Anolis sagrei: one gene and its partners. The protein of the gene in region 4 purifies or fractionates together with the protein of the main gene of each other region. This does not show direct contact. Links are inferred from orthologs where the notes say so. Each region holds a gene or a part of one and is shown on either strand. Other genes may lie near its edges. The genes, in order: KIF5A, KIF5C, KIF5B and KLC2.

What was found.
Region 1: the proteins of KLC2 (region 4) and KIF5A purify together in Homo sapiens (affinity purification with western blotting; 3 studies listed by BioGRID and IntAct, with this or other methods). This does not show direct contact. The link is inferred for Anolis sagrei from reciprocal best matches to the Homo sapiens genes KLC2 and KIF5A.
Region 2: the proteins of KLC2 (region 4) and KIF5C purify together in Homo sapiens (affinity purification with western blotting; 3 studies listed by BioGRID and IntAct, with this or other methods). This does not show direct contact. The link is inferred for Anolis sagrei from reciprocal best matches to the Homo sapiens genes KLC2 and KIF5C.
Region 3: the proteins of KLC2 (region 4) and KIF5B fractionate together in Homo sapiens (co-fractionation; 7 studies listed by BioGRID and IntAct, with this or other methods). This does not show direct contact. The link is inferred for Anolis sagrei from reciprocal best matches to the Homo sapiens genes KLC2 and KIF5B.

Annotation. Positions count from the first base shown.
Region 1 is NC_090022.1:186,121,412-186,129,658, reverse strand, and holds the start of KIF5A (kinesin heavy chain), read right to left. Parts: upstream 3,058-8,247; 5' UTR 2,711-3,057; coding exon 2,582-2,710; intron 1-2,581. UniProt on the Homo sapiens protein: Microtubule-dependent motor required for slow axonal transport of neurofilament proteins (NFH, NFM and NFL). Can induce formation of neurite-like membrane protrusions in non-neuronal cells in a ZFYVE27-dependent manner.
Region 2 is NC_090021.1:206,189,328-206,196,770, forward strand, and holds the start of KIF5C (kinesin heavy chain), read right to left. Parts: upstream 3,335-7,443; 5' UTR 2,518-3,334; coding exon 2,392-2,517; intron 1-2,391. UniProt on the Homo sapiens protein: Microtubule-associated force-producing protein that may play a role in organelle transport. Has ATPase activity. Involved in synaptic transmission. Mediates dendritic trafficking of mRNAs.
Region 3 is NC_090026.1:112,333,283-112,341,022, reverse strand, and holds the start of KIF5B (kinesin-1 heavy chain), read left to right. Parts: upstream 1-4,438; 5' UTR 4,439-4,669; coding exon 4,670-4,795; intron 4,796-7,740. UniProt on the Homo sapiens protein: Microtubule-dependent motor required for normal distribution of mitochondria and lysosomes. Can induce formation of neurite-like membrane protrusions in non-neuronal cells in a ZFYVE27-dependent manner.
Region 4 is NC_090032.1:14,553,199-14,560,752, reverse strand, and holds the start of KLC2 (kinesin light chain 2), read left to right. Parts: upstream 1-4,388; 5' UTR 4,389-4,479; exon of another isoform or gene 4,480-4,503; intron 4,504-7,554. UniProt on the Homo sapiens protein: Kinesin is a microtubule-associated force-producing protein that plays a role in organelle transport. The light chain functions in coupling of cargo to the heavy chain or in the modulation of its ATPase activity.

The DNA of each region.
Region 1 (8,247 bases), on a different chromosome or scaffold from region 4:
CAAGCCGTGGTCAATGGATCAATGGTCAAAGGATGAAGTTGAGATAGGGCACACTCACATCAGTTGGCCGGCCATACAAAGCAGATAACCGACTCATTTCACAACCACACACTCAGCAGCGTGTCCCTCTCTGCAATAAAACAGTTGCATGAGGAGATGTCAGCACCATTGTTGGGCATAGCACCAGCAAGTTGGCACTGGGAGCATAACCATGTTCATCCCCTTGGGGGAAAAACGCATTACCACCCTTCCTTCTACTCTGACAGATGGTGGATTTAGCAACGGGAAAATCCAAACAATCAGCAGGTTGAAAGCCCAGAACGGTACCAAGTGGCAAGCACAAGGACCACAGGGACAAGCTTCAGGGGCGTTGCCATTTCCGAGTAAACAACCTCCAGGCGCCTTAGCTAGCCACCTGCACCATTTTAGCCCTGATCTTTATACTGCACAGATGGAAGTCAGTATGGAATATTTCACTGGATTATGGATAAGAGCAGGGGGGGTTTAAAAAATTACAGGTGGTGTGTAAGCAGGGGACCTTTGGGCATTTTGGGAATGTTAACCTCAGGAGGCGCAAGCAGACTAGCTGCTAGAAGGATGGAGTCTTAAGGTTTGGAAAGGCAAGATAACATATGGGCCGTGTGATGGATGGACAGTCAGAAAGGAAAGTGGCTTGTAGATTCCCTCCCAGCTCCCAAGGGCTCTTTTCTTCCCAGTGGCCAAACCAACAGCCCAGCTAGCCACACCCAGCTGACCAAGCCTGCAGAGCTAAGGAGGGAGGCAGTAATGGCACAAAAATGGAAGCAGATACTCCAAGCATCCTTCCCTGCTACCGGTTTTCAGAGAGTGATAGGTGGAGCATGTTTATACAAATGGATTTTCAAGTCGAAAAGACAATTTCTTAAAGGTGGAGGGGGAATGTTGAGCTGAGGGGTTTCATAAGGAAACAAGCAGCTTGTATCAAGATCACAGAACTGAATGGACGCCTTGGGAGAGGATCGATGTGGAGCGTAAGAGCAATCCATAGGGAGCAGGCCTCCCAATTTTCCCCAACACACACACACAGAAAGGAAGAGTGGGAAGAGAGGGATGGAGGTGGACAGAAAGAGAGAGGTGGAGAGAGAGGCCCCTTCCACACAGCTGTATAAAATTCACATTGAGCTGGATTATATGGCAGTGTGGACTCATAACCCAGTTCAAAGCAGATATTGTGGATTATCTGCCTTGATATTCTGAGTTATTATGGATGTGTGGAAGGGCCCAGAGAGGGAGAAAGAGGGTAAGAGAGAAAGGTAGAAAAGGGAAGAGAGAGAAGGAGAGAGAGAAAGGTGGGAAAGAGAGAAAAGGAGAGAGGGGGAAAGGGGGAGAGGGGGAGAGAAAAAGAGAAAGGGGAGAGGGAGAAAAGGGAAGAGAAAGATGGAGAGAGAAAAAGAGGGAAAGAGAAAAGGAGAAAGGGAGAATGCGGGGAGAGAGAAAGAGAAAAGGAGAAAGGGAGAAAAAGGAAGGAAGAGATGGGGAGAAAAAGGTGGGAAAGAGAGAAAGGAGAAAGGGAGAAGAGGGGGGTTGAAAGAGAGAAAGGGAGAGAGGGAGAAAAGGGAAAAGAGAGATTGAGAGAGAAAAAGAGGGAGAGAAAAGGAGAGAGGGAGAAAGGGGGATAGAGAAAGAGAAAGGGAGGAAGAAAAGGGGGAAAAGACAGGAATGGAGAGAGGGAGAAAGAGAGGAAGATGGAGGGAGAGAAAGAGAAAAGAAATATGGAAAGAGAAAAGGGGGAAGGAAGGGGGAGATGGAGAGAGTGAAAGAGAGAAAGGAAGAGAGGGAGGAAAGAAGGAGAGGGAGAGAAAGGGAGAAAAGGAGAAAAGGGGAAAGAGGAAGGAAGGTAAATGGGAAACTGAGAGAGAAAAGGGGGGAGAGGTGAGAGAGAAAGAGGAAAATAGAGAAAGGGAGAAAAAGGGAGAGAGCAAAGGTGGGAAAGAGAGAAAGGGAGAGGGAGAAAAGGGAAGAGGCAGAGAGAGAGGGGGGTGGAGAGAGAAAAAGAAGGAGAAAGAAGTGGGTACACAGGCCCCTTCCACACAGCTGTATAAAATCCACATTGAACTGGATGATATGACAGTGTGGGCTCAGATAGTTCAAAGCAGATACTGTGGATTATCGGCCTTGATATTCTGGGTTAATATGGCTATGCAGAAGGGCCACACAGAGAAAGGTGGGGAGAGAGATGGATTGGGAAAAGGGGGAGAGAGAAAAGGATGGGGGAGAAAGGTGGGGAGAAGTGGAGAGAAAGAGAGGGGGGAAAAAGGAGGGAGGGATGGAGAGAAAGGGTTATATATGCAGAAAGCGACAGAGACAGAGGGCCCTTCCACACAGCCCTATATCCCAGAATATCATGGCAGAAAATCCCACAATATCTGATAATGTGGGATTTCCTGATTTGATATTCTGGGATATAAGGCTGTGTGGAAGGGCACCCAGTTCAAAGCAGATATGGTGGGATTTGCTGCCTTGATATTGTGGGATAATACAGGGCTGTGTGGAAGGGCCCAGAGACCCCCACCGGCCCACCTCTTCCTCGCCCTTCACTCACCCCAATGATGACGGTGTCATCGCCTTGGAAAACCGGGATGAATTTATCCCCCCGGATGATCTCCGACTGATTCAAGGGCCTGAAGCGACAGAGCACTTTGATGCTGCATTCATTGACTTCCGTCGTCATGCTGGCGGGTGGAGGCTCTCCTTTGCGAGGGTGGAAGAAAGAGGGGCGGCGAGGGCTTGGAGTGGGGTGCGATTCCCGGGGAAAGGCGCAGGAGGGCAGAGAGAGGAGGGCGAGCGATGGGCGAGCCTGGTTCCCTGCCTGTCACCCCCCAGCAGCAGCAGAGCGGCGAGGCTCTCTCTGGGCTGGGCTGGCGCTCCTCCTGCTGCAGGCTCTGCTCCCGGGATGCTGCTCTGCCTGAGTCCTCCTCCTCCTGGTGCTCTTGCTGCAACTGATGCTTGCGGCGCTTGGATCTCTCTCCTCCCTCCTTCCCCTCCTGCTGCAGACACCGGCAGCAGCAGCAGCAGGCAAAGGGCTGGGCTGGAGGAGAGGTCCAATGGTACCGCTTTTAAGGAGGAGCCATCTCCTCGGCCTTAAGGTGGTATGTCATTGAACATTGAGAAAACCAAAATGCTGTTCCAGCAGTCACCAGCCAACCCCTTTCCAATGCCAGAGATACAGCTTAATGGTGTAACATTAGAAAATGTTGACCATTTCCGCTACCTTGGCAGTCACCTCTCCACCAAAGTCAACATGGACACCGAAATACAACACCGCCTGAGCTCTGCGAGTGCAGCATTTTTCCAAATGAAGCAGAGAGTGTTTGAGGACCGGGACATACGTAGGGATATTATTAAACTTTATTTGTACCCCGCTAGCATCTCCCAAAGGATTCGATGCGGCTTACACAGGCCAAGGCCTCAACAACACAACATAACAGTACAATCAAGCAAATCAAACAATTAAAAACAAAATAAAGCAAAGTAAACAGTAGGCACAATACATTAAAACACAATAAAACTGGGCCGGGCCAAAAAGTGGGTACAAGAATTAAAAGTGCTGGTTTGACAGGAGGTGTATAAAGGGTTTCTAGGGCAAGTGCGATGTGCGGTGTGCAGCAATCATTGGTTCTGGTAAAGTGCTTGTGGGACTCAGTAGTGAAGATTTCCTAATCTGGGAAGGCGCATCGGAAAAGCCAGATTTTTAGGTTCTTTCTGAAGACAGCCAATGACGGGGCCTGTATAAGGTCTTTGGGGAGGGTGTTCCAGAGTTGGGGGGCCACCACGGAAAAGGCCCTGTCCCGTGTCCCCACCAAGCGCGCTTGCGACGCCAGTGGGATCACGAGCAGGGCCTCTCCAGATGACCGAAGAGAACGCGTGGGTTCGTAGATGGAAATGCGGTCACGCAGGTAGGCCGGTCCCAAACCGTTTAGGGCTTTGAAGGTAAGCAAGGTGCTTGTTTATAAAGCTATTGTCCTCCCAACCCTGTTATATGCCTGCGAAACGTGGACTGTCTACAGACGTCACATGCAACTCCTGGAACAATTCCATCAGCGCTGCCTCCGGAAAATCCTGCAAATCCCTTGGAAAGACAGGCGGACAAACGTCAGCATGTTGGAAGAAACAAAGACCACCAGCATTGAAGCAATGCTCCTCCGCCATCAACTCCACTGGACCGGCCACATTGTCCAGACACCCGACCACCGTCTCCCAAAGCAGTTGCTCCACTCCGAACTCAAGAACGGAAAATGGAATGTTGGTGGACAGGAAAAGAGATTTCAAGATAGGCTCAAGGCCAACCTTAAAAACTCTGGCATGGATACAGAGAACTGGGAAGCCCTGGCCCTTGAGTGCTCCAGCTGGAGGTCAGCTGTGACCAGTAGTGCTGCAGAATTTGAAGAGGCACGAATGGAGGGTGAAAGAGAGAAACGTGCCAAGAGGAAGGCGTGTCAAGCCAACCCCAACTGAGACCGCCTTCCACCTGGAAACCAATGCCCTCACTGAGGAAGGAGACGTAGATCAAGAATAGGGCTCCACAGCCACATAACGGACCCACAAGAATACTGATCCTGGAAGACTATCCTACTCGGCCAACGAGGGACCGCCTAAGTAAGTAAGAAAGTAAGTAAGGGAAGGCTGAGCAGAGAACTACCCCCATCCTCCCCCCCCCCATTAAAAACAACTCTAGCAGCCCCCTCACACCCTCCCCCTTGTTTGGCAATTTAACTATGTTACACCACCTTGGCTTCAGGATCAGGATGCTGCTGCATAACTTGGGCACAAGGAATCGGCATGCCATGATGTCCTTTATTAATTGGCCAAGGGCAAGCCATACGCTTTCAGCCCTGGAAAATCCAGTGATAGGTTTCCCTAACTTGGTTGTTGTTGTTTATTCGTTCAGTCGCTTCCAACTCTTCATCATTGTTGCACTCCAGGTCAGGGAAATGCCCTCTGACTTTAAAACACACCACACAATGAGTGAAGAAACAAATCTTTATATATATATATATATATATATATATATATATATATATATATACACACACACACACACACACACACACACACACACTAGCTTTCCCCTGCCATGCGTTGCTGTGGCCCACATGGGGGTTCTGTGTGGGAGGTTTGACCCAATTCTATCATTGGTGGTGTTCAGAATGCTCTTTGATTGTAGTGACCTATAAATCCCAGCAACTACAACTCCCAAATGTCAAGATTCTATTTTCCCCAAACTCCACCAGTGTTCATATTTGGGCATATTGAGTATTCGTGCCAAGTTTCGTCCAGATCCATCACTGTTTGAGTCCACAGTGATCTCTGGATGTAGGTGAATTACAACTCCAAAACCAAAGGACACTGCCCACCAAACCCTCCCAGTATTTTCTGTTGATCATGGGAGAATTGTGTGCCAAGTTTGGTTCAATTGCATCGTTGGTGGGGTTCAAAATGCTCTTTGATTTTAGGTGAACTATAAATCCCAGCAACTACAACTCCCAAAAGACAAAATCATATTTTTTGCATGAAGGACATACATTGGGTTGTTAAGTGTCTTGTGTCCAAATTTGGTGTCAATTTGTCCAGTAGGTTTTGAGTTCTGTTAATGCCACAAACGAACATTACATTTTTATTTATATAGATATATAAATTTTTATTGAAAGAATATAGTTACAAGGAAAGTGGGGGAATATTGTGTAGAAATCAGTTGGCCCCTTCCACACAGCCATATATTCCAGTTCAAAGCAGAACCTGTGGGATTTTATTTAGCTGTGTGGAAGGGGCCTAAGGTGTTGGCCTTTTCACTCCTGGTGCTATTGGCACTCACCTCTACCCATATTCGCTCCCATTTACAGACTGCCACAAACAAAACAATTGGATCATTAAAAAAAAAGAGAGAGTCAAAGTGGACATGGGTTTGCATAACATGCAAATTTGAAAATTATCACTATATATATAGTCAAAGTATGATTGGTTTGCACATTTGGCCCACAAAGGCTCCTATGTGGCTTAATAGATCTACATCAAACTTGGCACATATACCCTTTATTATTCAACTTAAAATAATTGAGGGATTCAAACTAAAAACACATCTCTTTCGGGCTCAGTACAGAAAGAAAGAAAAGGAACAAAGTATTGGCTGTTGCTAGGTGTTGTGGCCTCTGTGATGTCACTGAGGGCCCATCTACACTGCCATATAACGCAGAATATCAAGGCAGATAATCCACAATATTTGCTTTGAACTGGATTATCTGAGTCCACACTGCCATATAATCCAGTTCAACATGGATTTTATACAGCTGTGTGGAAGGGGCCTGTGGAAGGAAGGGAGTGAAACAGCTTGGATTCTATTAGGAAACATATGTATTGGGAAAGTGAGGAAGGGAGGAAGGAAAGAAAGGAAGGAAGAAAGAAAGAAAGAAAGAGGAAGGAAGGAAGAGAAAGGAAGGAAGGAAGGAAGGAAGGAAGGGAAGGAAGAAGGGGGAGGTTTTTTGAGGGAAAGCAAAAGATGAAGGAAGAAATGAGAGAAAGGAAAGTGAGAGGAAGAAGGTGTATGAAGGAAACAGGGAAAAGAAGGCAAGATAGAATATGTCCACCATTGCCAGAGCATTGCCATGAAGACATTGTGAAGTAAGTCTTCTCAGAGCTGGAGAAGGGAGAAAGCAGATGGGCAGCAAACCCTTTGACATCCAGGCAACACCCGGTATATATGCAAGCTTCAATAGAAATCTTAGCTATCTCAACACAGTGGAGAAATCTCCAATCTGGTGACCTCTGTGTTGTCCAAACGTTAACTGTGGGTAGGCAACTTTAAACTGCTAGTCCTTCCAGCTGTTCTTTCCAATGGTTCTTCATATTTAAACTGGATGTGTACAAACAGAGGATACCTTCAGAGAGGATCATCCTTTAGAAAGCTGGCCACACACCCACCTTGGTATATACATTACAATAATCCAAGATACTCCACTCTTTGTTCGGCCTCTCAGTCCTCTGAGTAATGCTCTAGTCTGGAAGATGGGCATACAGTAAACCTTTTAATCATCATTACTGCTTACTCTTCCAGGAAATAAGCAGCCATTTAGACAGATGTAGCAAAACCGAACAATCAGATTGAGCTGACATGTGAAGGAAAAACAATACCAGAAATGCAGTTATTTTTAGGGAGGATGGTAGTAGCACTAGCATCAGGCCCTAAGCGAGCCAAGAGCATAGCTGCTGCAATGATTTGCCAACTAGTTTCATTTCTTCCAGATGAGTTGAGTTGAATGAAGCTTAAAAAATTATGTCTGGGACCGGATCTACACTGCCATAATAATACATTTTCAGAATGCTAATTAATGGCATTTAACTGAATCCTATGAGTCTACACTGCCATATATGGAGCCCTCAGTGGTGTAGCAGGTTAAACCACTGAGCTGCGGAACTTGTTGACCGAAAGGTCACAGGTTTGAATCTGGGGAGCGCCGTGAGCACCCGCTGTCAGCTCCAGCTTCTGTCAAGCTAGCAGTTCGAAAACATGCAAATGTGAGTAGATCAATAGGTACCACTTCTGTGGTAAGGTAACGGCACTCCATACAGTCATGTCAGTCACATGACCTTGGAGGCGTCTACAGACAATTCCGGCTCTTCGGCTTAGAAATGGAGATGAGCACCAACCCCTAGAGTTGGACACAACTGGACTTAATGACAGGGGAAAACCTTTACCTTTATTTATTTATTCACGTTATTTATTTATTTACGTTACTTTTATCCCGCCCATATCAGCCCGAAGGCGACTTAGGGCAGCATACAAATTGGCACAATTAGATGCCACATATAAATACATACATTGGTTAAAAACAAAAAAAATCACATCATAATACATTTAAAACCATAAAAGCAATAAACAATAAAAATTATAAAAACTATGTCTTTACCTTACACTGCCATACAATCCAGTTCAATGCAGACAATCTGCATTCTGAAATTTCATTATATGGCAGTGTAGATTCATCCTGGCCTGGAATAAGGGCAATGAAGGTTCATGCTGTGCTTCTGATGCCCCATCTGCACTGTCATATAATGCATGACATGGTCAGTGTAGATTCATATACAGCTTTAGGCCAGGACATGGTACTGAGACAGCCTTGGTCACCTTAGTGGATGATCTACGCTGGGAACTGGACAGGGGGAGTGTGTCCCTGTTGGTTCTGTGGGACCTCTCAGCGGCTTTCGATACTGTTG
Region 2 (7,443 bases), on a different chromosome or scaffold from region 4:
TCCCATCCCAAATACTTATCCCACGGTGAATGTTTGTCTTGAAAATGAACCACCTGACACTTTATTGTATTTGTATGTCCAACCTAGGCCCACACCTCCACTGAAAAACTACTTTTCACGCAAATGCTATGTATTTTAATATATGTATTTTATATGTTTTATAGGCATATGAATGTTATGGTGTGTATTTTATGTGATGTAACAGTGTTGTAAACTGCCTCAAGCCGTGAGGAGAGGTGGATAACAAATAAATATATTGTTGTTGTTATCATTAACAACTTTTCTTTCATGTCAGGAATGACTTGAGAAACTGCAAGTCGCTTCTGGTGTGAGAGAATTGGCTGTCTGCAAGGATGTTGCCCAGGGGACGCCCGGAAGTTTTACCATCCTGTGGGAGGCTTCTCTCATGTCCCCACATAAGAAGCTGGAGCTGACAGACAGGAGCTCACCCAGCTCCCCAGATTCGAACTGCCAACCTTTCAGTTAACCGTCCTGCCGGCACAAGGGTTTTAACCCAGTGCGCCACCGGGGGCTCAATGATCATCAATGTTTTGTTGAAGGCTTTCATGACTGGAATCACAGGGCTGCTGTGAGTTTTTTGGGCTGTATGGCCATGCTCCAGTAGCAATTGGACAATTACAGCATCATCACTGTAATTGTGTAAGCTCACATTCATATTCCCCACACCCAATAATGCCACAACTCTTCTTTCCACCTTTGTCATCTTATTCCCACCAACAGCATCATATCACATCACAGTATGAAGTCTTAACCCCAACTTTGAGTGCTAAGGAAGGCGGGGGGGGGGGGGGGGAGTAATAAAGAACACCTACAACCTTTGTTTTTCCATACCAGGGGTAAGAGATGATGCTGATCTTTATTTATATAGCACCATCCAGTGTGGCTGATGTTTTACAGAACCAAAACCATGGGCCTCATCCCTACACCTATTTACTTGGGGGAGAGTCCCATTGAATGTCATTACCATGATCAAACTAAGCCAATAATGTGTTGACAAAGGCTTTCATGGCCAGAATTACTGGGTTTCTGTGAGTTTTCCAGGCTGTATGGCCATGTTCCAGAAGCATTCTCTTCTGACATTTCACCCACATCTATGGCAGGCATCCTCAGAGGTCGTGAGGTCTGTTGGAAACTAGACAAGGGAAGTTTATATATCTGTGAAAGGTCCAGGGTGGGAGAAAGAACTCGTTTGTTGGAGGCAGGTGTGAATGTTTCAATTGGCCACCTTGATTAGCATCGAATAGCTTTGTAGTTTCAAAGCCTGGCTGCTTCCTGCCTGGGGGAATCCTTTGTTGGGAGTTGTTGGGAAAATTCCTGTCTGGAATTCTCCCATGTTCAGAGTGTTGTTCTTTCTTTACTGTCCTAATTTTAGAGTGTTTTTTTAAAAATACTGGTAGCCAGATTTTGTTCCTTTTCATGGTTTCCTCCTTTCTGCTGAAATTGTCCACATGCTTGTGGATTTCAATGGCTTCTCTGTGTAGCCTGACATGGTGGTTGTGAGAGTGGTCCAGCCAATAATGTAGCAATGTAGCAAGAGATTTCCTTTGGATATAGGTTTCTCCAAGGCTCTCCAAGACACCACCCCTTCATCTGGCAGGTTCCTACTGCTGCCAAGGACATACCCATTCCCCTCTCCAATATTTGCATCTACAGAGGGAAGGCAAGCCTGTGCAACGCCACTGCCTAACAAACCAACCTGATAAAGTGGAAACATTGAATATATATATTTAAAAACACCCAATATAACACCAAGTGAAGAGATTGATGTGTTGTCGAAGACCAGAATCAATGGGTTGCGGTGAGTCTTCTGGGCTGTATGTCCATATTCCAGAAGCATTCTCTCCTGACATTTTGCCAACAGACTCCTCAACCTCAGAGGATGCCTGCCATAGATGTGGGCGAAACGTCAGGAGAGAATGCTTCTGGAACATGGCCAGACAGCCTGGAAACATTCACAGCATCCTGAAAAGATTGATACCTATGATCAAAATATCCCAGACTAGAAAACAACATCATGTTAAGATTCCAAATCCGAAATGTCAGAGGAAAACAGGATGCCGACTTTGGCCGCACATCTCCATGGAGGGCCCTTCCGATGCCTTCCTCCTGGGCTTGGAGGTGAAAGGCTCCCCCAAAAGGCGACCCACCCACCCACTTACTCAGCCTCCCCGCTCCCCAATTCCCTTCCAAGGAAGGCCAGGGATGGGAACAATGGGCGGAGGGAGAGAGGGAGGGAGGGAAGAAGGAAAGGCGCACAATGCAGAGCCGCCCAAAGGGACACCCAAAAAGAAAAAGGAGAGAGATGCTGGTGAAGGAAGCAAAGGAGAGGGAGAGGGAGAGGGGGGATCCGGGGGGGGGGGAGGGTCTTACCCCGACCACGACGGTGTCCTCGCCTTTGAATTTGGAGACGAATTTGTCCCCGCGGAGGATCTCGGCCTCGTTGAGGGGACGGAACCGGCACATGACTTTGATGCTGCACTCGGCCGGGTCCGCCATGGCAGCAGAAGCAGGAGGAAGAAGAGGAGGAGGAAGGAAGAGAGAGAGAGAAGGAAGGGGGAAGAGAGGGAGGGGGTAAGGGGGAGGAGGAAGGGAAGGAGAGGAAGAGGAGAAGGAGAAAGAGAAGAAGGAAGAGAGGGGAAGGAGGATGGGAGGAGGTAAGGATGAGGAGGAAGAAAGAGGAGGAAAGGAGGAGGAAGAATGGGGGTGGAGGTGAAAGAGAAGGACGAGGAAGAGAAGGAGAAGAAAGAGGAGGAAGAATGGGCTGGAGGTGAAAGAGAAGAAGGACGAGGAAGAGAAGGAGGAAAGGGGGGAAAGAAGAGGAGGAAAGGAGGAGGAAGGGAAAGAGAGGAGAAGGAGAGAGGAGAAGGAAGAGGAAAGGAGACTAGGGGGTGGAGGAGAAAGGGAAGGAGGAAGAGGAGGAGGGGAAGAAGAAGAAGGGAAAAGGGGGAGGAAAGGAGGAGAAGAAGGGGAAGAAGGAAAAGGAAGGAGGAGGAAGACTAGGGAGTGGAGGAGAAAGGGAAGGAGGAAGAGGGGAAGGAGGAGGAAGACTAGGGGGTGGAGGAAGAGGAGGAGGATGTTCCCCCTGGCTTCCCTCCCCTTTGAGGCTGCGGTGCCCAGCCCGCTCTTCTTTGGGGCGTCCGAAGGTCCCTGCCCCTCTTCCTTGCTTTTCTCCTTTCCTTCTTCCTTCTCCTCCTCTTCCTCAGCCCTTGGCAGGTTCTCCTGCCTCGGCCACCATCCTGCCTCCCCGCCGGCGGAGCACCTCCTCACTCTCTCTCTCTCTCTCTCTCTCTCTCTCTCCCTCAGCCTCCCAGCCTCTCTTTCTCCCGCTCCGCCTCCATCCAGGGCTTTGTGACTTCACCGCATTACATCAACCCTCCTCCTCCTCCTCCCTACAAAGCGGGCTCATCCCTGAGAGTTGTGCTTCTGCCCGCCACCAGCAGGGGGGGATAGAGAGCAGCGGAGAAGCTCAGTGCGGGTCTGCCATTCCTGGCCAAGGAGGGCAACAACTCTGGGGACCTGGTGCACTTTGGCACTTCTTTTGACTCCTCGATTGTGGTGAAGACCCAATCCTCTTTGGCAGAGGAAGCTAGAGACCTTGTAAAACCACAGCTCCCAGCATAGAGCCAGAGCAGTGGGATCAAATGGTCTTAGCTCTCCACTGCTTGATCATTTAATACACAGGGGATACAATTGATACTATGATATCTTGCAGCAGGAGGGTAGAATAGACATGGGCAAACTTTGGCCCTCCAGGTGTTTTGGGCTGCAACTTCCACAATTCCTAACAGCCGTGGGATTTACACTTTGGAGGCAAAGAGCACTGTTTGGAAATTCCTGCCAAACCGTTACAATGGTGTCACAAAGATACGAAAATTGTGTTTCATTTGGTTTTACTGTCTGTCACAATGACTAACATCCATGGGATTTCTGCTTTGGAGGCAAAGATCACTGGTTCCTGCCAAACAGTCCACACTGCCATATATTCCAGTTGAAAGCAGAAAATGTGGGATATTATTCAGCTGTGTGGAAGGGGCCTCTGACCCCATCTACACTGCCATATAATCTATGTTCTGAATGCACAATATCTGCTTTAAACTGGATTAAATGGCAGTGTAGATTCATAATCGAGTTTAAAGCAAATAATCTGCATTCAGAAACTGGATTTTATCATCAGTATAGATGGGGCCTATGGCTCCTTCTACACTACAGAATTAATTTAAGCTTGACACCACTTTAATTGCCATCCCTCAATGCTATGGAATCATAGGAGTTTGAGTTTAGTGAGACACCATCAGAGAAAACTAAAGCCCTTGCCAAACTACAGTTTCCAAGATCTCATAGCATTGAGTTAAAGTAGTGTCCAACTTCATTAATTTTAAAATGTAGACACACCTTTAGATTACCATAAGATGCCTTGCATCCTCCAAATTTTGTTGGGCTCCTCTAACTCCCAATATGCCCAGTTTGCTTTGCTAGCTAGGCCTGCTCTGAGTTGCAGTGTAATAACATCTGGAACATATCCCGATTCCCACTTTGGTGGTAATAAGACATTAGGGACTACTCAAAACATGCCTAGTGTAATCAATAATGCTTTGGCTCCAGCTGTATGCTACACATTCAGGTTGCTAAAATGGAAAGCAAAGTCTATTACTCATAAGAATCACCTGATAATATATAATGGAAAATATTTTTAAAAACACATTTGAATCCCTACTCTTTGTTCCGATGTTCTGTAACATCTATGGTCTCTTTCAATTTTGGCTAATTATAATACTTGGGCACCACTTTAACTGCCATTGCTCCATCCCATGGAATATCGGGATTTACAGTTTGGGAAGACACTACAGCTTCATATTTGAGAATTCTTCATGCATCACAAAACTAAAAGTCAGTGGAATCATGGGCAATTAAAACTGGCGTCAAAGTGATATAATTATCCAGTGCAAAAGAGATCAACATCCAATGTTGCTTGTAAAAAGTTCATGGAAAATATTTCCAGGGAAATACTGACCATGATGATCTTTCAGCCTGCCATTGCAGTGTCACCTGCTGTAGCCAAAGCCTGTAACATTTCTGAGATAGTTCTGGGTTTTATATTGTAAGTCCATCTCTTTTGTACTCATTGTCCTTTGCCTCATATCCATGAGCTAGCATATGCTTTGACAGTTTCCATTCCTCAAGAGAACATTTTAAATGTGTGAATAATCAAATCTTCAAAGGTCAAAACCACAAATTTATTTATCGTAGCAGGAGCGAACCAAGGGCACAGCCGCCATGCATTTAAAAAACAGAGTTTAATAAAGCTTGGCACCATATCAAAAGTCCCTTGACCAGTAGCTGACCACCTGGAGTTGCCACTGTCATGCAACAGGTGTTCTGTGATCTGCTCCTCTCCACACTCGCATGCCGTGGACTCCACTTTGAGGCCCCATGTCTTAAGATTGGCTCTGCACCTCGTGGCTCCTGAGCGCAGTCTGTTCAGCACCTTCCAAGTCACTCCGTCTTCTGTGTATCCAGGAGGGAGTCTCCCATTTGGTATCAGCCATGGATTGAGGTTCCGGGTTTTAGCCTGCCACTTTTGGACTCTCACTTGCTGAGGTGTTCCTGCAAGTATCTCTGTAGCTCTTAGAAAACTATTTCTTGATTTAAGCCTTTGGCCAGTATTGCACCACCTGACATCCTCCGGGAAGTAGCAGCCAATAATGAAAGGATCAAGGCAGAGACATCTCCAGCCCATCCCTTGTTTGGGTATCAGCCAGTATGCCAATGCCTTAAAACCACAAATGTGGACAACTGCATACTTTGTACAGGATGCCCCTTGAGATAAAGCTGTGCCAGTAAATTCCAGGTGAGGAGGCTTGCTACTCTATTGTTGGAAGAAAGGCATTCTGTGCTTCACCCAAGCAGAAGAGCAGGAGGGGGAATCCGGCAATGCTATAAGAATGCTCTCTGCCAGCAAATTAATCACGAAGATTACCTAAAATCTATTACATTTTCAGATGCCTTTCATTGCTTCCAGAATGAGGAAGGCATATTCATAGTCTTGTCCTAAAGTATTTATTATTCATATGTATGGAAAAATTAAACTGGAGAGTAATATGCATTCTTTACATCAAGCTCTCCATGAACATGAACATTTGGGGAAAGGTCCTTCAGTTCAGATCTGGTTCAACTAAAGGATATCGCTCCCAAGAATGAAGTAGCTGTGTACATATTATTAACCTTCTAATATGCAAGCATCATAGAAGTCAAGAATAGATAGATGATGGTGCAAAATCACTGAGAATGAGTTAGTGATTTCTTAGAACTTAAGTACTTTATAGATAGGCCTGCAAAATCTGTAGCCTTCCAGATGGTGGTGGTCTATAACGCCCATTCTGACAATGGTGTGAGGTTAATATTGCAGATCAGCATCAACATCCATATGTCCGTATGGAGGACATGAGAGAAGCCTCCCTGCAGGATTGTAACACATCCAGTTGTCTCCTGGGCAATGTCTCCGTAGACAGTTGACATCAGAAGTGACTTGCAGTATGCAACCAGCCAAACAAACATCCATATGCCCCTCATTTCTGCTATATACAAAGACATCATATGGCGCAGTAAAGCAAACATGATATAGTCTTACACAAAAAGCCTTCCAGGTAGGCAATTTGTTACCTGTCAAGTGGTCTTATTTTACAAATCTTAATGCTATTAGTCCAAAATACATTTTTGTCCAAAAACCTTGTCTCAATAATATAGAACATAAATATTGTTAATACATAGCTAGGAAGCAGTCCTGAGTATCCATGGATTCTACATCCAAGGATCCAAGTACCTATTTTTATTTATTTTACAGTATTTATATTCTGCCCTTCTCACCCTGCAGGGGACTCAGGGTGTACATATATATGGCAAACATTCAATGCCATAGACACACAACATATATAGACAGACACACAGAGGCTATTTAACATTCCAGCTTTCTTGAGGATATTCTGGCCACCAGGGGATCTTTCGCTTCATCGTCCATTAGTGACAATGATGGGAGTACTTCCTCATTCTTTTTGCATGGTTGCTGGAGATTTTTATGGCGTTGTAAATTAGTTAAATTAGCCTGCCCACATAACCATAAATTTCCTACTTGACAGATGGAACTGTCTTTCGGGCTGCAAAGGTTGACAACAAGCTTCACAATGTTCGGAAGCTCACTCCAACCCCGGCTGGCTTTGAACTCATGACCTTTTGGTCAGTAGTGATCTTAATGCAGCTGACTCCCAGCCAGCTGCGCCACAGTCCCAGTACCTAGGTCTTGAATTAATATACAAACACACACCTATGTGCGTGTGTATGCATGTGTATAATAGCAAACATTAACTTTGCCATTGTATTTAAGGAGCACCATTTTACTATACCATTGGATTTGAGCATCGATTGATT
Region 3 (7,740 bases), on a different chromosome or scaffold from region 4:
GTCCCCAATCACCAATCTTTGTTTCCATAACAAGACAAATATTTCAAAATCTAATTATTACAGGGACAGAAAATGAGGTGAAATCTTCTGAACTGGGACACAGACAGCAAAACGTCACAGGGGTGTTACCTCTATACCTATCCAACCAAAAGCCTTCATATATATATATGTGTGTGTGTGTGTGTGTGTGTGTGTGTGTGTGTGAAGGCTTTGGGTAGGATATATCCACTATACACACACACGCAAACACACACACACACACATATACAGAGAGAGAGAGTGCACTGGAATTACACTTACATACAAATTCAACTTAGGAATGAACCTACAGAACCTATCTTGGGGACTGCCTGTATATAAAGTATCAGTTAAATGGAATATGCCACTGTATCAAATGAGCCTTGAAAGATTTGGGAAGTTCTCAAGACATTTGTGAGAAAAGATGTGGAAAAAAGGAGTGACGATGGACATGAAACTGGCTGTCTTTAGAGGCAAGTGGTCTATGGTTGGTTTTGAAACTGGTACACAATAAGGATGGATCTAACCATTAATGAATATCTAGTGAAATTCAAAGGCAAATGTAAATTCCAGCACTGTACTCTAAGTGAATCAGGAAAATGTGATGTACAATATGGTGCTAGTACAATGCTAAGACATCCTATCTTCTAAAGCAGTGGTTCCCAGCCCTTTTTTTTTGATCAGGAACGACTTGACCAGGGACCACTTTGACCAGGGACCACTCTCCAACATTAGTCCCAATAGGGTTACGAATCAGTTTTTGGACAACTTTAGATTTGGTTTAGTTATTTGGGGTGCTGATTCAGAAAATTGCATTGGATAGACCACATCACCTCTAGTTTCTGATACAGAATATATGCTATCCAGTAGTCGCCATCTGCTCACCCACAGAAAACCATATTTAATACAGTTTGGCACTATAAGAAGGTTTCGCGAGACCAGTCACTCTAGTTGCAACAATGTAGTAACAGTGAGGTCACGGACCATATTTTAGTTCTTGCAAACCACTGCTGGTCAACGAACGACAGGTTGGGAACAACTGTTTTAAAGGAAGACATTTATCTGGGCAATGGGGAGTCCAACTTGCTTTATCTGATGGAAAACTGGTAGGTCTAATAAATGACGACTTAAAATACATTGGCACAATTCAGCAGAGTAAGGCATACACAAACACTCTTTCTTCTAAACAGGCCAGCCGATAAGAAAACCAGCATATCACATGAGGAAAATTTGCCTCCAAGGACTACATTCAAGTAATAAAACATTCATTAGGAGGACATTGTTACCAGAGTAAAAAACTGTCCTGTGATATCAATAATATTAGGTTTTCCTACAAGTAAGCAACAACCATTGTTTTCCTTTAGGGGTTGTTAGGCCATTAGGAAGTTTTATGGGCTGAACACAAAGGTTTGGTTGTTTTGAGCGGAGGTAAAAATAGAGCATTTTTTAAAAAGGCAGAAGTAGTATAGTATTATTAACTTTTTTTTGAAGAATTAGAGAAGTAAACCAGAGACGAATACTCAAAACAAAATATTCTACTGATTTTCCAACCATAAACTCTGGGCAGACGGCATTTTGAAATCCATGAATATCTTGCAGGTTTGAAAAAAGAATATCTGCCTGGATGACAATTAAAGCAATACGGCAATTACATTGTGATTAAGTTTTCGTTTGAACAGCATCTGACCACTGTGCAAATGAGAAAGGTTGCTCTCTCTCTCTCTCTCTCTCTCTATATATATATATACACACTTTTGCTAAATTGCACTGATTCTAATTTGATAAATCACCTTGTGCTCCAGTTAAGGAAGAAAGTGAATGACATTAAACAGACAAATCAATTTCTGTCTGGGTTCATATTCAGGCTAAGGCAGGAAGTAAGCCTTAGGGTGCATCTGCACTGCATAATTAATGCAGTTTGACATCACTTTAACAAGGAGCCCCTGGTGGCGCAATGGGTTAAACCTTGTGCTTGTAGAACTGCTGACTGAAAGGTCAACGGTTCAAATCCAGGGAGCGGAGTGAGCTCCCATCTGTCAGCTCCAGCTTCCCATGTGGAGACATGAGAGAAGCTTTCCACAGGATGGCAAAACATCCGGGCGTCCCCTGGGCAACATCCTTGCAGATGGCCAATTCTCTCACACCAGAAGCGACTTGCAGTTTCTCAAGTCACTCCTAAAACGAAAAAACAAAAACAAAAAAACGTTTTTAACTGCCAGGGCTCAATGCTGCAGAATATTGGGATTTGTAGTTTGGTGAGGCACCCACTGCCTTGGAGAGGCAGCTAATGACCTAATAAAACTACAACTCCATGATCCCAGAGCATTGAGCCGTGACAGTTAAAGTGGTGTCAAACTGCATTAATTATATTGTGAAGATAGTCTTATCTTGTTCTGTGGGAAGGGCCTTGCAATCTCTGTACGGAAGACATCAGAATTTCCTATTAATGCCTATTAATGCTATCAAGGATTACCTTGATAGCATTTTTATATTTTGATACTTCAAGTTGTATACAGATTTAAACTGCTGAATGTGTTACCAGGCCTGACTGTATGTTTGGCTAAAGCTGTTTGATTTGGTGAGTTTAAATGTCTATATTCACTCTGAATTGTAATTGTTTGTTCTGCCCATTCATTGTTATTGGCTTATTAACATACTTAGGTGATCCCTCATAGTCCAAGGATGATGGTCCTCCAAGTGATGTGTTTTGCCCATGGATACCTAGGTGGCTGTGGCACCTGATTCTTGACCTGCATCTTCTCCTGCAGTGAGGGCATTAGTTTCCAGGTGGAAGGTTAGGGTTGGCTTGATGCACCTTCCTCTTGCCACGTTTCTCTCTTTCGCCCTCCATTCCTGCCTCTTCAAATTCTACAGTATTGCTGGTCACAGCTGACCTCCAGCTAGAGCGCTCAAGGGCCAGGGCTTCCCAGTTCTCTGTGTCTATGCCACAGCGTTTAAGGTTGGCTTTGAGCCCATCTTTCAATCTTTTTTCCTGTCCACCAACATTACATTTCCCGTTTTTGAGTTTGGAGTAGAGCAACTGCTTTGGGAGACAGTGATCGGGCATTCAGACAACGTAGCCGGTCCAGCGAAGTTGATGGCGGAGGACCATCGCTTCAATGCTGGTGGTCTTTGCTTCTTCCAGCACGCTGACGTTTGTCCGCCTGTCTTCCCAAGAGATTTGCAGGATTTTTCAGAGGCAACACTGATGGAGTTGCATGTGACATGTGTAGATAGTCCATGTTTTGGAGGCGTATAGCAGGGTTGGGAGGAAAATAGCTTTATAAACAAGCACCTTGGTATCCCTGCAGATGTCCCAGTCCTCAAACACTCTGTGCTTCATTCGGAAAAATGCTGCACTCGCAGAGCTCAGGCGGTGTTGAATTTCAGTTGTCAGTATTGACTTTTGTGGAGAGGTGGCTGCCACGGTAGCGGAAATGGTCAACATTTTCTAATGTTACACCATTAAGTTGTATTTCTGGCATTGGAGAGGGGTTGGCTGGTGACTGCTGAAAGAGCACTTTTCCAACCAGTCATTATATGTCAGTGACAATGTTTACTGTTGTTGTATTGTCGAAGGCTTTCATGGCTGGAATCACTAGGTTCTTGTGGGGTTTTTTCGGGCTATAGAGCCATGTTCTAGAGGCATTTCTCCTGACGTTTCGCCTGCATCTATGGCAAGCATCCTCAGAGGTAGTGAGTTCTGTTGGAATTAGGACAATGGGTTTATATATCTGTGGAATGGCTGGGGTGGGGCAAGGAGCTCTTCCCTGCTGCAGTTAGGTGTGAATGTTTAGCTGATCTCCTTCATTAGCATTTGAAGGCCTGCCTGAGCCTGGGAAAATCTCTTGCTGGGAGGTGCTAATCTGTGCCTGGTTGTTTCCTCTCTGTTGTTTTGCTGTTGTAATTTTAGAGTTTTTTTTAATACTGGTAGCCAGATTTTGTTCATTTTCATGGTCTCTTCCTTTCTGTTAAAATTGTCCACATGCTTTTGTTATTTGCATGTGGCATTGAATGTTTGCCATTTTATTTTAATTTAATTCTTGGAAGCCGTCCTGAATCCCTTAGGGGAGAGAAGGTGGATTAAAAATAAGGCATTATTATTACTATTTCTAGCGACCGCACTAACTTCAAATGATTTTCCAAGTCCAAGACTTAGAATCCTTGCCAGACTTCCCGCTAAATAGTCCGCGCATGCGCAGCAAAGTTCTCGCCTCTGCTTTCGAGTTTCCTCCTTTTGCGCCTGCGCGTTAGATCTCTCCTCCCGGACTTGCTGACAGGACTTCTCTGTTTGGAAGGAAGACATGTCGCCGAAGTGGGTTCGCCATTGCGCCTGCGCAGTACCGCTTGCCGCAGACGGTGACGTCACCTTCTCCCTGCCCGGCCGTTAGCCACGCCCCCCGCGCGCGCAGGAGGGGCGGGGCCCGGATTCGCCGGCTGCAGGTGCCGCCATGGCGGCCATATTGGAAAGGAAGTGAGTGCAGGAGGAGGAGGAAGAGGAGGCCTGGGCGGAGCGGGAGCCCTCCGCCATTCTTCGGACACTGGCCCGGCTCCTCAGTCCGGGGAGAGGTTGCCTGGCGTCGGGGCGAGGCGGGCGCTGGGCCTGACTGGACGCTGAGGGAAGAGGAGGAGGCGGCGGCTGAGGCCTAAGATGGCGGACCCGGCGGAGTGCAACATCAAAGTGATGTGTCGCTTCAGGCCCCTCAACGATTCCGAAGTGACCCGAGGCGACAAGTACATCGCCAAGTTCCAGGCCGAGGACACTGTTGTCATTGCGGTGAGTTGAAGCGTCGAGGGAAGCGCTTAGGCGGAGAGAGGCCTCTGGGAAAGGAGAGCCTGGGCGGCGGCTGCGAGGCCTCAATGGGCCGAAAGCAGAGGAGGGAGGGAGAAAAGCCATTGGTGGGGCCTAGAGGCAAGAGTCGGCCTTCTGTGGAACCGAAGGGAGGAATTAAAGGGCACCAGGGCCCTTCCACACAGTCATATAACTCTGAATATCGAGGCAGACAATCCCAACTGGGATATATGGCAGTGTGGACTCAGATAATCCAGTTCAAAGAAGATGCTGTGGGTTATTCTGCCTTGATATTCTGGGTTATAAGGCTTTGTGGAAAGGCCCTGAGCCCACACGGCCATATATCCCAGTTCAAAGCAGATAATGTGGGGTTTTATGTGGAAAGGGGCCCCAGTCACAAGCCACGCTGTGATCCACACCGCCCTATGTTGTTGTTGTTGTTCATTCGTTCAGTCGTCTCCGACTCTTCGTGACTTCATGGACCAGCCCACGCCAGAGCTCCCTGTTGGCCGTCACCACCCCCAGCTCCTTCAAGGTCAGTCCAGTCACTTCAAGGATGCCATCCATCCATCTTGCCCATGGTCGGCCCCTCTTCCTTTTGCCTTCCACTTTCCCCAGCATAATTGTCTTCTCTAGGCTTTGCTGTCTCCTCATGATGTGGCCAAAGTACTTCAACTTTGTCTCTAGTATCCTTCCCTCCAGTGAGCAGCCGGGCTTTATTTCCTGGAGGATGGACTGGTTGGATCTTCTCGCAGTCCAAGGCACTCTCAGCACTTTCCTCCAGCACCACAGCTCAAAAGCATCTATCTTCCTTCGCTCAGCCTTCCCTAAGGTCCAGCTCTCACATCCGTAGGTTACTACAGGGAATACCATGGCTTTGACTAGGCAGATCTTTGTTGCCAGTGTGATGTCTCTACTCTTTATTATTTTATCGAGACTGGACGTTGCTCTCCTCCCAAGAAGTAAACGTCTTCTGATTTCCTGGCCACAGTCTGCATCTGCAGTAATCTTTGCGCCTAGAAATACAAAGTCACGGCCTCCACGTTTTCTCCCTCTATTTCCCAGTTGTCAATCATTCTTTAAATGCCTTGTATGAGTTTCCACTGTCATATAATCCAGTTCAGATTGCATACTGATAATAATAATAATAATAATAATAACAACAACAACAACAACAACTTTATGTGTAGCCTGCCATATCTCCCCAAGGGGACTCAGGGCGGCTTCCAACATAATAAAGGCAGACATTCAGTGTCTGTGTAAAACAGAATGGTTGGGCTATGCCTGGGGAGTTGGCTGAAGCAGGGACTTTGAGTTACTGTTACATATTTTGGACTTGAGCTATGCAGGTGCTTGCAGAGAAGCAGAGAGAGAGAGAGACAGTTTGGAGTATGTTCTTGCTTCATGAACTGCCAGAAAGAAGATTCTCCACAAAGAAAGACCATTTTAAATCTCTCTAAAAGGACATTATTTGAGTCAGTCCAACTGATTGTATGATTGTAAATATGTTCAATGTATTGTCGAAGGCTTTCATGGCCGGAATCACTGGGTTGTTGTAGGTTTTTCCGGGCTATATGGCCATGTTGTGGAGGCGATTTTTTTCCTGATGTTTCGCCCGCATCTATGGCAAGCATCCTCAGGATGCTTGCCATAGATGTAGGCAAAACGTCAGGAGAAAAATCGCTTCCACAACATGGCCATATAGCCCGGAAAAACCTACAACAACCCTGTAAATATGTTGTTCTGAATTACCGATAATCTGCATGACATATTGTCTTTCTCTGGTAAGACAGTATGTGGACTGATCAAATGTCAACTACATGTGATTTATTTTACATTGAGCCACTTTTAGTAATATAATAAGATACCATGCTAATAAATTGTAATAATGTTCTTTTGCACATGAGGGCCCCATTGCACAATGGGGCATATTGTAGACAAGGACATGTTGCTCAGTGGAGTCTTGGATCATGTTGAGTAATGGGTATTTTGTACAGAAGTACAAAAATATAAACAACAATAAAATACATTACACAAATTAAAGCAAGGAATTTAAATAAATAATCAACATTTGAACCATTAAAAGCCGGCTAAGATAGCACATCAAATCCATTGTATTGTATGACAGTGTAGATACTGCATAAACTGCGTTGTATGGCAGTGTAGGTCAGGCATGGGCAAACTTTGGCCCTCCGGGTATTTTGGATTTCAACTCTCACAATTGTGGGAGTTGAAGTCCATAACACCTGGAGGGCTGAAGTTTGCCCATGCCTAGTGTAGATCAGCCTAAGTCTCCCATGTTTCCTAAAATGCTTGGGATTTGGGCCTTTGGGATGGAATAGAAGGTGTTCTTATCCAAATTGTGCATGTCAGGAAATAGCCCGCAGAAGTAATTTCAGAACCACTGGCAATCTTTGAGGGAATGTTCCAGCAGACTGGAAGAAGTTAAATGTTGGCTCCATCTCTAAAAGGGGGGGGGGGGGAGGAGGACCCAATAATGACCGCCCAGTCAGTCTGACATCAATATCAGGAAAATTCTGGAGCAGCATATTAAACAGACAATTACAAAAAGTCATCAAGGGTTTCCCATGAACAGGCCAAGCCAGACAAATCTTATCTCTTTCTCTCTCAGAGAAGCTTGGTAGATGAAGGGAATTCTGTAGGCATAGCATATCTCAATTTCAGTAAGGTCTTTGATAAGGTCCCCCGTAACGTTCTCATAAAGAAGCTAATAAAATGTTGGCTAGACCAGACATGGGCAAACTTTGGCCCTCTGGGTGTTTTGGATTTTAACTCCCACAATTCCTAACAGCCAGTAGGTTTGCCCATGCCTGGGCTAGACGATATTATTATTAGATGGATTGGGGATTGGGTGACTGGCTTAAGAGTGCTTGTATCCAATGGCTTCTCTGCATTCCAGAGAGAGTGGA
Region 4 (7,554 bases):
TTGGAGTCCTCATGGACAACAAGTTAAACATGAGCCAACAATGTGATGTGGCGCCAAAAAAAAGCCAATGGGATTTTGGCCTGCATCAATAGGAGCATAGTGTCTAGATCTAAGGAAGTCATGCTACCTCTCTATTCTTCTTTGGTTAGACCACATCTGGAATATTGTGTCCAATTCTGGGCACCACAATTCAAGAGAGATATTGACAAGCTGGAATGTGTCCAGAGGAGGGCGACTAAAATGATCAAGGGTCTGGAGAACAAGCCCTATGAGGAGCGGCTTAGGGAACTGGGCATGTTTAGCCTGAAGAAGAGAAGGCTGAGAGGAGATACGATAGCCATGTATAAATATGTGAGAGGAAGCCACAGGGAGGAGGGAGCAAGCTTGTTTTCTGCTTCCTTGGAGACTAGGACGCGGAACAATGGCTTCAAACTACAAGAGAGGAGATTCCATCTGAACATGAGGAAGAACTTCCTGACTGTGAGAGCCGTTCAGCAGTGGAACTCTCTGCCCTGGAGTGTGGTGGAGGCTCCTTCTTTGGAAGCTTTTAAGCAGAGGCTGGATGGCCATTTGTCAGGGGTGATTTGAATGCAATATTGGCAGGGGGTTGGACTGGATGGCCCATGAGGTCTCTTCCAACTCTTTGATTCTATGATTCTATGATTCTAAAATTCAATGCCTTAGAATCATAGAATCATAGAATCAAAGAGTTGGAAGAGACCTCATGGGCTATCCAGTCCACCCCCCTGCCAAGAAGCAGGAATATTGCATTCAAATCACCCCTGACAAATACAACTACAATATTAAAACCACAGTTTATTTATTTATTTATTTATTTATTTATTTACTTTGCTTGTATACCGCAGTTTCTCAGCCCGTAGGTGACTCAACGCGGTTCACATCAAGAGCAAAAAGTCAATCCTAACAACATACAATATTTAAAAAACCATTAACAGCATAATATACAAAGTAATGACACATCAATAAACAACACATTAACGTCTCGTAACTAGAATCGTGATCCAATTCGTCATCCGTAATTCCGTTTTCCTATATTCATCGTATTCATTGCACTGTTTATCCGAACGCCTGTTCAAATAGCCAGGTTTTTAGTTTTCTTCGAAACACCATTAACGAAGGGGCTGATCTAATGTCCATGGGAAGGGCGTTCCACAGCCGAGGGGCCACCACAGAGAAGGCCCTGTCCCTCGTCCCCGCCAGCCGTGCTTGTGATGCAGGCAGGATCGAGAGCAGGGCCTCCCCAGAAGATCTTAGAGTCCTGGTGGGTTCATAGGCAGAGATACGTTCGGATAGGTAGCTTGGGCCAGAACCGTTTAGGGCTTTATAGGCCAACGCCAGCACTTTGAATTGAGCCCGGTAGCAAATCGGCAGCCAGTGGAGCTGGTGCAGCAGAGGAGTTGTATGCTCCCTGCGCTCCGCTCCTGTTAGTAACATGGCTGCCGAGCGTTGGACTAGTTGGAGCTTCCGAGCCGTCTTCAAAGGCAATCCCACGTAGAGAGCGTTGCAGTAGTCTAAACGGGATGTAACTAGAGCGTGGACTACCGTGGCCAAGTCAGACTTCCCAAGATACGGGGGCAGCTGGCGCACAAGCTTTAGATGTGCAAATGCTCCCCTGGTCACCGCTGAAACCTGGGTTTCCAGGCTCAGCGATGAGTCCAGGCTCACTCCCAAGCTGCGAACCTGCGTCTTCAAGGGGCGTGCGGCCCCATCCAACACAGGCTGTAACCCTATGCCCTGTTCGGCCTTGCGACTAACCAGGAGTACCTCTGTCTTGTCTGGATTCAATTTCAATTTGTTTGTTTAAACATAAATCATATTAAAAACAGTACATCATCAAATATCAAAACAGTTATTAAAACCATAAAACAATCTCATCAGTCAAGTTCCAGTTCTTGTCCCACTAAAAGCTGCATACATCTCTGTATATAAAAGATGTATCTCTGGAAGCCGAAATCAATAGAACATAATAATAGTAAGGATAATAATCTATATAAATAAAAATGTAATGTTCGTTTGTGGGATTAACAACTCAAAAACCACTGGGCGAATTGACACCAAATTTGGACACAAGACACCTAACAACCCAATGTATGTCCTTCACTCAAAAAAATTGATTTTGTCATTTTGTCCATTGGCTACCAATTTGCTACTGGGCACAATTCAAAGTGCTGGCGTTGGCCTATAAAGCCCTAAACGGTTCTGGCCCAAGTTACCTATCCGAACATATCTCCGCCTATGAACCCACCAGGACTTTAATATCTTCTGGGGAGGCCCTGCTCTCGATCTCGCCTGCATCACAGGCACGTTTGGCGGGGACGAGATACAGGGCCTTCTCAGTGGTGGCCCCTTGGCTGTGGAATGCCCTTCCCATGAACATTAGATCTGCCCCCTCTTTGATGGTGTTTCGAAGAAAACTGAAAACCTGGCTATTTGAACAGGCGTTTGGATAAATAGTGCAATGAATACAATGAATATAGAAAAACGGAATTTATGGATGACGAGATGGATCATGATTCTAGTTACGAGATGTTAATGTGTTGTTATTGATATGTAATTACTTATTATATTATGGTGTTAATTGTTTTTAAATAGTATGTGTTGTTAGTATTGAATTATTGCTCTTGTTGTTAACCGCATTGAGTCGCCTACGGGCTGAGAAACTGCGGTATACAAATAAAGTAAATAAATAAATAAATAAATAAGCCACATCTACTCTTAATTGTCAGGTATATATCTGATATGCAGGAGGTATTTTCAGTTACTCGACCAAATTTGGCACAAACTTGGCTCAGATACTCAATATGCCCAAATGTGAACCCTGGAGGAGTTTGGGGGAAATAGACCTTGACATTTGGGAGTTGTAGTTGCTGGGATTTATAGTTCACCCACAATCAAAGAGCATTCTGAGCCCCACCAATAATAGAATTGGGCGAAATTTCCCATGAACAATAGAAAATACTGTGTTTTCTGATTGTCTTTGGTGACTCCTCAGACACCCCCCCCCTCTCCCTTGCGACCTCCCAGGGATCCCGATCCCCAGGTTGGAAAATGCTGCCCTAAAACCACTTATAACAGATCTGTGGTTGGATGATTTATTTATTTATCGTGTCATCAGCAACCATACCATTGTATTACAATTCTAATAGAACAAAACAAACACACAGATTAAAAAACAAACAAACACACACGCAAAAGAAAAAACACAGATTTTGCAAACTTGGTAGTTGGTTAAATGTGCTTTGACCAGTATCTGGCCACTTGGAGTGCCTCTGGGGTTGCCGCGAGAAGGTCCTCCATTGTGCATGTGGCTGGGCTCAGGTTGCATTGCAGCAGGTGGTCTGTGGTTTGCTCTTCTCCCCACTCGCATGTTGTGGATTCCACTTTGTAGCCCCATTTCTCAAGATTGCCTCTGCATCTCGTGGTGCCAGAGCGCAGTCTGTTCAGCGCCTTCCAAGTCGCCCAGTCTTCTGTGTGTCCAGGGGGGAGTCTCTCATTTGGTATCACCCATGGATTGAGGTCCTGGGTTTGGGCCTGCCACTTTTGGACCCTCGCTTGCTGGGGTGTTCCAGCGAGTGTCTCTGTAGACCTTAGAAAACTATGTCTTGATTTAAGTCGTTGACGTGCTGGCTGATACCCAAACAAGGGATGAGCTGGAGATGTCTCTGCCTTGGTCCTTTCACTATTGGCTGCTACTTCCCGGCGGATGTCAGGTGGTGCAATACTGGCTAAGCAGTGTAATTTCTCCAGTGGTGTGGGGCGCAGACACCCTGTGATAATGCGGCATGTCTCATTAAGACTCCCATGACCAACAGAAAATACTGGAAGGGTTTTGGAGTTGTAGTTCACCTACATCCAGAGATCACTCTGGACTCAAACAATGATGGATCTGGACCAAACTCTACACGAATACTCAATATGCCCAAATGTGAACAATGGTGGAGTTTGGGGAAAATAGAATCTTGACATTTGGGAGTTGTAGTTGCCGGGATTTATAGTTCACCTACAATCAAGGAGCATAACTGAAAAACCACTGGACACCAAATTTGGACACAAGACTGCACACAAAGCAATCTATGTCCTTCACTCAAAAAAATGATTTTGTCATTTGGGAGTTGTAGTTGCTGGGATTTACAGTTCAACTACAATCACAGAGCATTCTGAAGTCCCACCAACGATAGAATTGGGCCAAACCTCCCACACAGATCCACAGCAACGCGTGGCAGGGGATGACTAGTATATAAATAAATAAGTCAAGAAAGGGAGGTTACTTATCCTCCGACAGAAAAGAAGGAGCCGCCCTCCCCTTTAAGGAGGTTGTCTTGGGCCCTCCCCTTTAAGGAGGTTGTTTTGGGGCGGGGCCGAGCGGCTGCCGGTGCCGCAGTGCCTGCCGGGAAGCCTGTGAGGGAGAAGCACCTGCGTCGAGAGAGAGAGAGAGAGAGAGAGAGAGAGAGGCTGCGGGTGAGAGAAAAGCTGCGCGCGCAGGTAGGGCCCTTTTTGGGGTGGGGAGGGGGTTTTTGGAGAGGAGGGGAAGGGTCCTGCTTGGGTTTGGAGTGGCTGGATTGGAGGGAGACCCCCAAAATGGGGAAGGAATTGGGGGGCTTTGGGCCTAGGCTTGAGGAAATGGGGAGCTGGGCAGTCGACGCAGAGCCAGAAGTTGATGTCTTGGCAACACACAACAAAAGAGCCTTACCTCTAGAGCAGGTTTGGGCCCTCCAGGTGTTTTGGACTTCAACTCCCACAATTCCTAGCGGCCTCAGGCCTCGGGGCCTGAGGCCGCTAGGAATTGTGGGAGTTGAAGTCCAAAACACCTGGAGGGCCCAAACCTGCTCTAGAACTTGAAAGAAGACCAAAAAACACCTAGAGACCCCCAAGGACCATTCAGTCCAACCTGTTTCTGCCTGACAGGAGGACACCATCCAAGCCCTCCAGACAGATGTCCACACAGCCAGGAATAGATATGATTGAGATAGACATATGGTGGGCACCCAGCCCAGCCCCCTTCTGCCTCTTCCACCTCTATGCCTGCCATAGCAGCAAACAGCCAGCCTTTGAAGCTGCAAGGCCCTTCAGTGCTAATCAAGCTGGCCAATGGCAACGTTCGCACTTGCCTCAAGCAGACAAGAGCCCTCCCGACAGATGGCCATCCTACTTTTGCTTTAAACCTCCCAAGAAGGGGACTCCATTATCATCATCATTATAGGATCTTAGAGTTGGAAGGGACCCCATCTCCACCAGGCAGGAAGACACCATCAAAGCCGTCCCGACAGATGGTCATCCAACTTCTGCTTTGAAACCTCCCAAGAAGGAGACTCCATCGTCATCATCCTTAAAGGATATTATAGTTGGAAGGTACCCCTTCTCCACCAGGCAGGAAGACACCATCAAAGCCCTCCTGACAGATGGCCATCCAACTTCTGCTTTAAAACCTTCCAAGAAGGGGACTCCATCATCATCATCATTATAGGATCTTATAGTTGGAAGGGACCCCATCTCCACCAGGCAGGAAGACACCATCAAAGCCCTCCTGACAGATGGCCATCCAACTTCTGCTTTAAAACCTCCCAAGAAGGAGACTCCATCGTCATCATCCTTATAGGATCTTATAGTTGGAAGGGACCCCATCTCCACCAGGCAGGAAGACACCATCAAAGCCCTCCCGACAGATGGTCATCCAACTTCTGCTTTGAAACCTCCCAAGAAGGAGACTCCATTGTCATCATCCTTATAGGATCTTATAGTTGGAAGGGACCCCATCTCCACCAGGCAGGAAGACACCATCAAAGCCCTCCCGACAGATGGCCACCCAGCCTCTGTTTACAGATTCCGCTAGACGCCCAGACAACATATTCCACTTGAATTCTTCCTAGTGTTTAGGAGGAATCTCTTGGTTTGCAACTTTAAACCTTTCCTTCCATTGTCTCCAGAGCACCAGAGCTGATCAGATAGGATCATAGAATCATAGAATCAAAAAGTTGGAAGAGACCTCATGGGCCATCCAGTCCAACCCCATTCTGCCAAGAAGCAGGAATATTGCATTCAAATCACCCCTGACAGATGGCCATCCAGCCTCTGTTTAAAAGCTTCCAAAGAAGGAGCCTCCACCACACTCCGGGGCAGAGAGTTCCACTGCTGAACGGCTCTCACAGTCAGGAAGTTCTTCCTCATGTTCAGATGGAATCTCCTCTCTTGTAGTTTGAAGCCATTGTTCCATTGCGTCCTAGTCTCCAAGGAAGCAGAAAACAAGCTTGCTCCCTCCTCCCTGTGACTTCCTCTCACATATTTATACATGGCTATCATATCTCCTCTCAGCCTTCCCTTCTTCAGGCTAGACATGCCCAGCTCCTTAAGCTCATAGGGCTTGTTCTCCAGACCCTTATCATTTTAGTTGCCCTCCTCTGGACACATTCCAGCTTGTCAATATAATCGAGAGAGAGACGTATCATAGAATCGTAAGAGTTGGAGGAGGATACCAAATTGGGAGGGATATACTCCAGAGGACAGGAGCAGGATTCAAAACGATCTTGACAGATTAGAGAGATGATTGGCCAAAACTAACAAAATGAAGTTCAACAGTGACAAATGCCAGATACTCCACTTTGGCAGGAAAAACGAAATGTAAAGATACAGAATGGGGGACAATGCCTGGCTCGAGAGCAGTACGTGTGAAAAAGATCTTGGAGTCCTCGTGGACAACAAGTTAAACATGAGCCAACAATGTGATGTGGCGGCAAAAGAAGCCAATGGGATTTTGGCCTGCATCAATAGGAGCATAGTGTCTAGATCGAGGGAAGTCATGCTACCCCTCTTTGGTTAGACCACATCTGGAATATTGTGTCCAATTCTGGGCACCACAATTGAAGAGAGATATTGACAAGCTGGAATGTGTCCAGAGGAGAGCGACTAAAATGATAAAAGGTCTGGAGAACAAGCCCTATGAGGAGCGGCTAAAGGAGCTGGGCATGTTTAGCCTGAAGAAGAGAAGGCTGAGAGGAGATATGATAGCCGTGTATAAATATGTGAGAGGAAGCCACAGGGAGGAGGGAGCAAGCTTGTTTTCTGCTTCCTTGGAGACTAGGGCGCGGAACAATGGCTTCAAACGACAAGAGAGGAGATTCCATCTGAACATGAGGAAGAACTTCATGATTGTGAGAGCCGTTCAGCAGTGGAACTCTCTGCCCCGGAGTGTGGTGGAGGCTCCTTCTTTGGAAGCTTTTAAACAGAGGCTGGATGGCCATCTCTCAGGGGTGATTTGAATGCAATATTCCTGCTTCTTGGCAGAATGGGGTTGGACTGGATGGCCCACGAGGTCTCTTCCAACCCTATGATTCTATAATTTATAAACATGGCTCTCACATCCCCTTTTCTCAACCTTCTCTTTCCAAGCTAAACATTCCCAGCTTCCTAAGCTGCTCCTCATAAGGATTCATTGTTTCCAGGCTTTTTGATCATTTTGGTCAGCTTTTTTTGGACACCTGCTTGTGCATTTATTTATTTATTTATTTATTTGCAGTATTTCTATTCCACCCTTCACAC